Caenorhabditis elegans: one gene and its partners. The protein of the gene in region 3 purifies or fractionates together with the protein of the main gene of each other region. This does not show direct contact. Each region holds a gene or a part of one and is shown on either strand. Other genes may lie near its edges.

Region 1 (3,756 bases), on a different chromosome or scaffold from region 3:
AAATTATTATTATCCACATTTCACAGTAACTTCGGCAGGATTCTTAAAGCGAAGATCGACTTTTCCAAAGTTGTACACTTTCTTCTCATCAGGAGTCTTCGAGTTAACAGTGACATTGAGTGGTGGGATTGGTTGGACGATTTTCCGATCGCAACGATGTGGAACTTCTTTAGATTCCCAGCATCTGTGAATGATAACGACATAAGGAGTAATCATATAAGCATCAGTTGTCACATAGGCTTTGAAATCAAATTCTCCTTTCTCGTTTGTCCATCGATCCATAAAATCTTCGTATCTGACTGAGAGTAAAGATTTTAGATTCAGTTGAACGATTTCAAACTCTCTTACACATTTGTGCTTCAGAAAAAATGTCCATTGGCATGTTGGCAGCAGGGACATCATCACACACAAGTTGTCCTTTGATATGCACGGAAAAATCTGTCTGCTTCACGGCCAGACACGTGGCAATAATACCGGAAAGAACAACAACTAGCTGAATGGGAAAACTTTAACTTCAAAAAACCTAACTATATTACATACCATTTACAAACCAGTTTGACCACTAAAAACTCAGTTGAACTGTATTTGAAACTAAATTTTTCTCGGTGTACGTGTCGATATTTATTTTAAAAAATTGCCACGCATTTATGTTTTCAGTGTTATTTTTCTTTTAGTCCTTGACAATTAATATTAATTGCAATTTCCAACATATCAAATAAAAATCAATGGGTACGGTATACAACACCGCAAACACCGTCACGTCAAGTCGCAGACTTTCAACAGCCGCTCCATTTTTATTTCTTATTTTTCTAGTTTTTCCGTTTATTTTGCGAAATATTATCACTTTTTGATTAATTTTATTGCAAAAATTTACAATTTTCAGTTAATATACTCATTGAAAACACTTTATTAACGTAGCTTATTACGTTATTCCTCCTGCGGTATTTAAATTTGGTTTTTCTATTCGCCACTACTTTTTAAAACGTTATTTTGTTCATCATTGAGTATTCAATTTTCAGAAATGACCGTATATCTCCCTGGCGACGTTATCAATGAACCTTCTTCAAGCGATTCCTCAATCATTGGCTACGGAATTAGTGTACGTGGCCAAACGAGAATTGCCACTCAACCTGGAGCTTTCCACAACGATGATGGAAAAGTCTGGTTAAATGTTCACAGCAAAAGGTAAGAATGATCACGAACAACATTTAAAATCACAATTTTTCTTAAATTCAGATATATACCACAGGAAGGAGACCGAGTAATCGCTATTGTCACTTCAAAAACTGGTGATTTCTTTCGTTTGGACATAGGAACTGCCGAATACGCCATGATCAACTTTACTAACTTCGAAGGTGCTACTAAAAGGAATAGGCCGAATCTAAAAACTGGAGATATTATTTATGCAACAGTTTTCGACACAACTCCAAGAACTGAAGCAGAGCTTACCTGTGTGGATGACGAGAAACGAGCACGTGGAATGGGACAGCTAAATGGAGGATTCATGTTCAAAGTTAGACACGAAATTTACTATTTATTGTAAAATTTAAAAATTATTATAGGTCTCCTTGAATCATTGTCGTCGACTAATCAACCCATCTTGCAAAATTCTTCAAACTGTTGGCAAGTTCTTCAAATTCGAAATCACTGTTGGAATGAACGGAAGAATCTGGATTAGTGCTTCGACTTCTGATGATATTATCAAGATTCACGATATTATCAATAAATCAGAGTTTATCACTGACGAAGATGAGCTTATCACCCTGGTTCAGAATAATTACACACGATCTGTCAGTGATTAAGAATCTTTATCTCAATTTTTAATTTTTCAGTGTAATTCCTGCTATTGTTGATTTTTTTTTCCTTTTGTTGTTGAACTTTTTAAAAATTTAATTTATCGTCTTGTTCTATGTAATATTTCAATTTTCAACGTTTCTTCGTTGTTTTAATATTTATTACTCAATATTCTCAATTCACAATGGAAAATTTTCGACATTCAGTATGGGTGAAGGCTTAGTGGAGCAACGTCAAGCTGACGATAAAGCATCTTGGGATGCTTACTGGAAAGTTCGTGATATCGATTCACGAGGATCCATCTACCCACGATTCCGTTATTATGCCCATAAGGCTTTCGACGCCCCAGCAACTTGGTTCAGAGGTAATTTTTAAAATTCTCAAGTTGGAGAATCATTTAAAGAAGAAGCAGCTTTGAAATTAGATTTAAAACCATTTACAAAATGTAAGAATTGACAGAAAACAAATTTCGTTCAAGTTTATTTACTTTCACCATTTGTTTTAATTCCAAGTAATTGATACTGTCTACGGTTTTATCCAGATTCAAAAAATTTGGGAACTTGTGGTGCAAGTAAAGGTTAATTTCTAATTCCCATATCATTGCTGTAAATTATAATTTTAAACTAGAAAAAAACCAAAGTTATTCGACTACCTCAAGCTGATGTACAGTTAGTAGTTGCAGTTCCACATAATAAATCAACTAGGCAAAACAATCCATTTTAATCTATTCTACTAACTCGTCAGCTTTTCAGAGACTATTGTGCAACCACTCAACAACAAGAACCGTCTACCCTACTATCACCGTCAACTTACACGTGTTCCGGAAATCGACGAATGCGGAGTGAACGACAAGGCCTGCTTCTACGAAGCCAATGAGCAGTACCGTCTTGATAAAATGGTCGATGGATTTATTCTGCAAACCCTCCGCCAACGTGTTGATCGGTGTATGCTTTACAACAATCCTGATCATTCACCATGTGCCAAGGTTATTGAGGATATGGAAGAGAATGAGTTGAATTTCTTCATGAAATACGGAGAGTTGGGAGGAGAATCCGATGTTCGTGATGCTTATATGAAGCAGAAGCATCGAATGATCTGGGAACGACGTCATCCAGAGATTATGGATGAGCGTGCAGCTAAGCTTGCTGATCATAAAGCACGACTTGCTAATGGAGAGTTTGACTATTCATTCTGGAAGAAGGGAATGTTCTATCAAGACAAGAAGAACTATGAGCCACCATATGAGTTCCAAATGAGCAAGTCAGCACTCGAGGGTGACAAGCCATTGTCCAAGGATTGGGAATACTACAAGAAGGTAAATATTCTTTCAAGATTTAATTTTAAAAAAGAAGCTACGAGAGAATCCTGGATCGAAAATTAAAATTTTATATTTTCAGGTCTCACAAGACCCAGAATTCGACAAGGATCAAGGAAAGAAGTCCGACTTCCGTCTCTTCTAATTCTACGCTGTCAATCTTTTCTTTTTCAATGAAATTTTTTAGAACGAATTGTGTTGAGTTTTCTTATTCCGTCGTAACAACTTTTTTTTCTTTTTCATGTTGCGTTCTTTTATTCCATTCAGAAAGTGAATAAATGTAGATTGTTTGATTGATTTATAAAGATTTGAATATGAATTTATGAGAAACGGAAATATTACCAGTCAGCTTTTCTTTTCAAATTAATTTAAATCAAAATTTAACTTTTTTAAGTTTCGGAAATGATACTGACATTTGCACGAAGTCTCTACACACAGGGGCAGTATAACGGAAAAATAAGGTTTTATTTTTAAATTAATTGTTTCTTTTTGAATTTGAGTTTTCAGAGAATATTTTTACTATGTGAGCCACAATGGTTTCCTATTTCTGGACGATTCGAGAATGAAGAATTTTACAGCGGCTTATAAAGGTTTATTTTACAGGAAAAACTGTTAACAAATCGAAATTTCAGATATTCAGTTTCTTA
Region 2 (3,756 bases), on a different chromosome or scaffold from region 3:
CTGCAAACTTTTGAAAATTAAATTTTAAATATATGTTATCAATTATACACTAGAAAAAACATCCCAGAATCAGTTTATTTCTGAAAAATTTCAAATCGGATAAAATAAGCTTCAAAAACACTCTAAAATTAAATGATTCTGATAATAAAATATTCAAAAATTCGCTTAAATTGGGAAAAAAAATCGGTGGCCGAACTTTCGGATTTCTAGACCATCAAGTGAAAAGTTAGTCCAGCCCATTTGAAAATAGCTAGACACAATTCAAAATGGCAAGAAGACGTTTGTGGAGGACTAACATCTCAGTTGGTGGCCTAGAAATTCAAAAGTTCGGCCATCGACTTTTAAAATTTTATTTTCTTCCAATTTTTCACAAAAATGTGCTGAATTACTAATTATTCGATGGGAAACCCGAAAAAAATCGGTGGCCTAACTGTTTTAAAAAGTCGGCCACCAATTTTTTTCGCGCAAATTTGACCGTTTTTTCGTCAATTTTCCAAATAAAAAATTGCTGGCCTAGAAACCCAAACCTCGGCCACCTATTTTTCACCTAAAAACCGTACCTAAACACACCATCAGGACGCTTTTCTGCTCTCCGACGCTCATTTTCTGGGAAAAAATCAGATTTTTTTCCTGAAAAAAACGTGAAAAATCAATAAAAATATCACAAAAAGGTCGTAAAATCCTTCAAAAAATCAATAAAAATTGGCAAAAAAAAATCGATAAAAATCTACAAAATTCATATGATTTTAAACACAAAAAAAACGGAGAAAAATCTACTTTTTCGAAAAAAAAAAATTTCAGGCTCTAATTATAGATTTTCAGTCGAATTGTGGCTTCTTTCCTGATATTTTGATTAATTTTAACAAAATTTTCAGATCCAAATCCGTCTGCCAAACAATCAGCGTCTCGTCGGTATTTTTAATCATTCTCACACACTTGAAGCAGTTCGTACATTCATTTGCACGTGAGTTTTCAGCCGGAAAAAGCTATTAAAAACTCTCATTTTTCACTAGAAAAAGTAGATTTTTAGAAAATTTCGAATTAAAAAAATAAAAAAATCATCTAAAAATCACATTTTTAGCCTGAAAAATTCGAAATTTTCCAATGAATAATTATTTTTTAATAATATTTTTCTGATATACACAGTGATAGAAAAATTACATTTTTCAAATTAAAAAATTACATTTTTCAAATTAAAAAATTACATTTTTCTAGTTTTTTCTTTCAAAAAACTCAAATTTTTTTAATTTAAAAATTTTGATTTTCCAGCGCCCGCCCAGATATGATCTACGCTCCATTCCAAATGATGGCTGCCTACCCTCCAAAACCATTTGAAGACGAATCACAGACTCTGAAGGATGCAAATGTGCTCAATTCGGTCGTCGCCGTGAAAATCTTGCCCACCACCAACTGAGGAGATTCCTGACGCTGCTTTTTTGGCGGGAAAATTGAAAATTGAAAATTTCATCTGAAAAAATTTCGAATTTCTACTCGTTTTTACCCCCCAAAACCTCTCAAATTCCCTGAAAATACCTGTATTTTACGCTAAATTATTTGATTTTTTCCCCCCATTTCCCAATATCGTTTTTTTTCTTTCTTCTATCACACTTTAATGCATAAAAAAAGTACACCGTTTTCTGTGAAAAATTGCGGCGATTTTTATTGATTTTTTGTTTTGGAATTTGCGAGTTTTTCAAGCTCTGAAATATTTTTTTTATTTTTTCCAGATTTTCAGAATTTTTCAATTTTTAGTGAAAAATGCACATTTTTTACAAATTTTCCATTAAAAATTCAATTTTAAAGTCAAATTTTGAATTTTTCAGATTTTTTCCCAATTTTTCAGAGAGAAAAATCCTTCTTCTGCGATTTTTTGGTGAAAAATTTAAAGTTTTCAAAAAATGTAAAAATTCACTTTTTTTGTTCCAATTTTCCACTGAAAAATCGATTTTTCCCTGATTTTTTTCAAAAAATTCAAGATTTTTCAGTGAAAAACTCGAAAAATATCATATTTCACAGGAAATATGGAGTTTTTCGCCAAAAAATTTATAAAAAATTTTTTTTTGAAAAAATTCACAAAATGCTTGGTTTTTCCTCCCCACATTCCGTTAAAATTTCCCATTTTTCCAACCAAATTTACATTACAGATGTCCCTGAAAGCGTGGCTGGGAATCGATAAAATCCAAAAGTTTGGCCAAATGGTCAAGGAGATTGGAGGTGTCAAAGCGGTGCTTAAGAAGCGTTATTTGTAAGTTTTCAGGTGGAAAAATGGCTGAAAATGCACTAAATTAGAAGAAAAACGGTCGAAAATTACCTGAAAATCATAAAAATCGAAAAAAAAATCGGTGGCCGAACTTTTCGATTTTCTAGGCCATCAGGTGAAAAGTTAGTCCCCCACACAAAACTGACCTGACCTATCACGCAGAATGTCAAAACAAAATTGGGGGACTAATTTTTCACTTGGTGGCCTAGAAATCCAAAAGTTCGGCCACCGATTTCTGACAAATTTTTAATTTTTTTTTTCGATTTACAACAATCGAATTTTATTTTTTAAAAATACATCAAAAAATTGATGGCCTAACTTTTCGATTTTCTAGGCCGTCATGTGAAAAGTTAGTCCGCGGGTTGATAATCGCTTGAAATCACCTGAAAACGAGCGAAAATCAGCGGGGACTAACTTTTCAGCTGGTGGCCTAGAAAATCGAAAAGTTCGGCCACGAATTTTTTTTTTGAATTTTTCAGTATTAAAAAATTCAAAAAATGTACGAAATTTGTCATGAAATCTGTCAGAAATCGGAGGCTGAACTTTTTTGGATTTCTAGGCCACCAAGTGATAAATTAGTCCCCCAATTTCATTTGGACATCCTGCGCGATACGTCAGGTCAATTTTGTGTGGGGGACTAACTGTTCACCTGATGGCCTAGAAAATCGAAAAGTTCGGCCACCGTTTTTTTTTTAATGAGTTTTATGCCAATTTTACACTATTTTCGCTTAATTTCATCAAAATTTCGGTTGAAAAATTGAATTTTTCGAATGACTCGCGTCGGAAAAATGACCGGAGAAACATAAAAAACCGAAAAAAAAATCGGTGGCCGAACTTTTCGATTTTCTAGACCAGCGAGTGAAAAGTTAGTCCGCGCGGGCTTATAATCGCTTAAAATCACCTGAAAACGAGCGAAAATCGATGGGGACTAACTTTTCACATGGTGGCCTAGAAAATCGAAAAGTTCGGCCACCGATTTCTTTTGTTTTTTAATGATGATTTTTAGGCCAATTTTACACCATTTTCGCTCAATTTACATAAAAATCTTCTCAAATTTTCAGAATGGACGCGACCCGCGTCGGAACACTCGTCGGTTCGGACAATTTCGGCAATCGTTACTACGAGAATAACGCGTATTTCGTGCCACGCAACCGTTGGGTCGAGTTTCCCGACAAAGTTTGGCTCGACTATGATGCGACTCAAGTGCCACCGGAATGGTACGCAAAAAAATGACGACGAAAAATGAACAATTTTGCTGTTTTTTACACGAAAAATGGCCTAGATCGGCCTAAAATGGCCTAGAAATGGCCTAGAAAATGGCCTAGAATGGCCTAGACAAATACAAATAAAAATAGATGACATAAAAATCATGAAAATCGAAAAAAAAATCGGTGGCCGAACTTTTGGGTTTCTAGGCCACCAGGTGAAAAGTTAGTTCCACCACTCAAATTTGGCCCAAATCACTCAAAATGTCCGGAAAACATGGTGGACTAACT
Region 3 (3,243 bases):
TGAAAATTTTCTTACTTAGTTGATGTCTATTCGAGTATATGAAATAATTTTTCAGTATGGTTGAGAAAGAAGAAACCAAAAAGAGGGCTCGCTCGTCTTCAAGCAGCTCGTCCAGTAGCTCTGGATCGTCATCTTCTGGGTATGCTTTACAATTTTCATACAATAGCTTAATAATCGATATTTCAGAAGTAGTTCATCAGGATCTCGCTCCTCCAGCTCATCGTCCAGTGGCCGTTCTCGTTCTCGCTCACCACGTCGTCGTGATACCCGCCCACCAGCTCGTGGAGGACGCTCTCGTTCTCCAATCCGTCGTGGTTCACCGCCAAGAGGAGCACGCGCGGATCGCGATCGCCCAATGCGACCATCACCATCACCACCACGTCGCCGTCGTCCATCCCCATCGCCACCACGTCGTGATCGTCGTGACAGAAGCGGGAGCCGTCAGAGGAGACGCGCTTCTCCGAGGAGAAGCCCAGCAGCAAGATCAGCCAGTCCGGCCAAGCGTGTAGTGATCAAAAATTTGAGCAGAAATGTTCTGAAAACGCACCTCGAGGAGATTTTCTCGATCTACGGAGCCATCAAGAATGTCGATCTTCCACCAGATCGCTTCCATAACCATGTTCATCGTGGATATGGATACGTTGAATATGACAATTTGGAAGACGCCGAAAAGTCGATCAAGCACATGGATGGAGGACAAATCGATGGAATGGCTGTTCACGTCGAAATGACTATCGGACGACAATCTGTCCCATTCCAGCGTAGAAGTTCTCCATTTAGAAGACGCTCGCCGCCACCAAGAGACAGAATGTCACCAATGAGAAGAGGGTAAGTAATCAAGGAAAAGTAGTATATTTTGATAATTTTCATCAAATTCCAGAGGCCGCAGTCCACCACCACATCGCAGACGTTCTCCAATGGGCGGCCGTGGCTCAGGAGCCAACAATATGCCACTTGGAGGGCCCAACAGATTCCGCCGTGCCAGCCGCTCTCGTTCTCCAGCCGGCAGAAGATCGCGTTCTTAAACTTCCATTACTGACGTTCCATTTTAAAACCCCATTCTAAACTGTCCAAATTCTGAACATCCTTTGTTTATTATTCTTCTGTTTTGTTATGCAAAAGATCTCCCCAATTTTCGTTTTTTTAATAAATTATTTTGGGTGTTTTAAGGGTAATTTGGATTGGTTAAAGACATGGTTAATTGCCTGTTAATTATCTATTTTAATTTTAAAACCGTCCTCAGAGGGGTTTAAATGTTAGAAAATATTTAAAAAAAAAACAAGAAAGCCTGGCGCGAAATATATAGTAGCGCAGGCGTCGGTGTCGATTTATGAAAAAGTGGTAATTAAATACAAAGAAAATCAATTTTAAATAATTGTTTAAAGGCGCATCGTGAATAAACACAAACTCCGTAAATCGACACAGAGCCTGCGCTACGAGATATTTTGCGCCACAAATGTAGGAATACTTATTTCTTCATGGTTTTTTAATAATTATAATAAGCTAATCAATTTTAAAATATTTATTCTTGTTTTATTATTTTATTGTTTTACCGCTTGATTTTCCAGATGACACAAGACAAGCCGATTGTGGAGACAATTTCAAACGCCGGTGAACAAGTGACAAATGTTTTTGGACAATTCTGGCAACTTGTCACCTCGAAAAACACGACGAATAATGGAGATTCAAAACCTATTAAGATTGAGCAACTTCCGATTTATGCTGAAGATAATGCTCCACTGAAGCAGAAATTCCTTCCAGAAGAGCCACTTCCTCTTCAAAGAGAATTCGCGACTATTCGTATCGCATGTGAGCAGGAGTATGATCGTGTTGCTGTGAGTTTTACGCGATTTTATGTGGAGAAAAAATTATATTTCGTTTTTAATTGGTTTTTTTTTAAAAGAAGAGTTTGGATTATTTTATTTAGCTAATTTTTTGTATTTAAGTAATTATTTGATATCTGTAGTTTTTTCAAGTGAAAACCGAATGTGTTTCACAAAAGAAAAAAATACATTGAAAATATCCATTTTCGAGAGGAAATTGAAAATTTTTAATATCATTAAATTGAGTAAAAGTAAAAATTAAACTAATTTTGTGAAAAATATATTTTTATCACCGATTTTTGTTTCAGGAACGCTTCAAAGTTGTCGATTGTGCGATGACTCAAACAAAAAAAGCGGCGACCAAATGCAATGCATATCTGACAGAAGAATGGACTGCTCTTCCAAAAGCCGCAGCAATCACCGTTGGTGGAATGGCCGGATTCGTTTTAGGCCTGAAACGTGGCCCGGTCGGACGTCTCCTCACCACTACCATCGGCTTGGCCACGATGGCCGCCTTTTGTTATCCGATAGAGGCTGTTGACGTGGCAAAGACCGGAAGAGCTCATGCTGAACAAACTTGGTATTCCTTCCAAGAATGTAGGCTTGAAATTTCTGAAAATCAGAGAGAAATAAATAAAATTTTCAGCTCCAACTCCATCTGCCATCGTCAAAACTAACTTGAGCCCACCGAAATAATTGGAAAATAATTGTTTGTGTGTAAAAAATATCCACTCGAATGTCTAGCGGTTTCTTTTTTTGTGTGTGCGCCGAACCCAGTGTTCCTGTAGTAGTGAAATAAAAATGCGATTTTTATGCAAAATTTGAAGAAAAAAAAACTGAGAAAAACAGAAAGGGAGGCACTTTTTGGACAAATTAAGAAAATAAATCTTATGTATATAATATATATATAGAACGGGCGAGGGTGGGGAAGGGAGAGAAAGTCACCCGCAAAAATTTAATCTAGGGGATGGTGAGAAGAGAGGCGCGGCACATTTTTTTGTTGATAAAATTGGAAAATTTATATTGGAACACAGAAATATTTTTACTTTTTTTTTAGGAACTTTTCACTTTCAATCAAAATCAAAATAATTTAAATTTCCAATAAAAACTTCGTCTAAACAACGAAAAAAGAAAAATTTTGTAAATTTTCCGAAAGTTTCAAAAAAGGTGCAGCACATCTCTGGTGAGAAGGCGAGAGGGCAGCGGGGGATCAGCATTATGGGTGGGCATTTTAATTTCAAGAAAATTTTGAATTTTCAGTGGGTGTAAATGTATGGCTATAAATGATTTTAATGTGGCTCGTACATATTTTGGCATATAATCACCCCGCCACTTTTTTTTCGATTTGTGTATTATTTCCCCTCATTTTAATATTATCCATTTTAATAAAACGTGATGTCCATTTTCCATCTTTAGGCTT

What was found.
Region 1: the proteins of moma-1 (region 3) and ndub-10 fractionate together in Caenorhabditis elegans (co-fractionation; one large-scale study listed by BioGRID). This does not show direct contact.
Region 2: the proteins of moma-1 (region 3) and ndua-12 fractionate together in Caenorhabditis elegans (co-fractionation; one large-scale study listed by BioGRID). This does not show direct contact.

The regions. Positions count from the first base shown.
Region 1 is NC_003279.8:10,517,360-10,521,115, forward strand, and holds ndub-10 (NADH dehydrogenase [ubiquinone] 1 beta subcomplex subunit 10), read left to right. Parts: upstream 1-2,000; 5' UTR 2,001-2,001; coding exon 2,002-2,158; intron 2,159-2,546; coding exon 2,547-3,109; intron 3,110-3,191; coding exon 3,192-3,254; 3' UTR 3,255-3,402; downstream 3,403-3,756. Other genes in the region: nlp-4 (Transthyretin-like family protein), read right to left, coding at 10-299, 349-493, 541-543; exos-3 (Exosome complex component RRP40), read left to right, coding at 1,022-1,185, 1,237-1,513, 1,563-1,802; UPF0598 protein F59C6.12, read left to right, coding at 3,512-3,570, 3,617-3,699, 3,742-3,756.
Region 2 is NC_003282.8:2,718,223-2,721,978, reverse strand, and holds the start of ndua-12 (putative NADH dehydrogenase [ubiquinone] 1 alpha subcomplex subunit 12), read left to right. Parts: upstream 1-2,144; coding exon 2,145-2,245; intron 2,246-3,321; coding exon 3,322-3,477; intron 3,478-3,756. Other genes in the region: ubxn-2 (UBX domain-containing protein 2), read left to right, coding at 876-964, 1,270-1,414. UniProt on the Caenorhabditis elegans protein: Accessory subunit of the mitochondrial membrane respiratory chain NADH dehydrogenase (Complex I), that is believed not to be involved in catalysis. Complex I functions in the transfer of electrons from NADH to the respiratory chain.
Region 3 is NC_003281.10:850,722-853,964, reverse strand, and holds moma-1 (MICOS complex subunit MIC27), read left to right. Parts: upstream 1-1,568; coding exon 1,569-1,835; intron 1,836-2,131; coding exon 2,132-2,420; intron 2,421-2,469; coding exon 2,470-2,519; 3' UTR 2,520-2,634; downstream 2,635-3,243. Other genes in the region: rnp-5 (RRM domain-containing protein), read left to right, coding at 57-139, 187-828, 881-1,025. UniProt on the Caenorhabditis elegans protein: Sustains mitochondrial morphology probably through maintaining cristae morphology. May act as a component of the MICOS complex, a large protein complex of the mitochondria.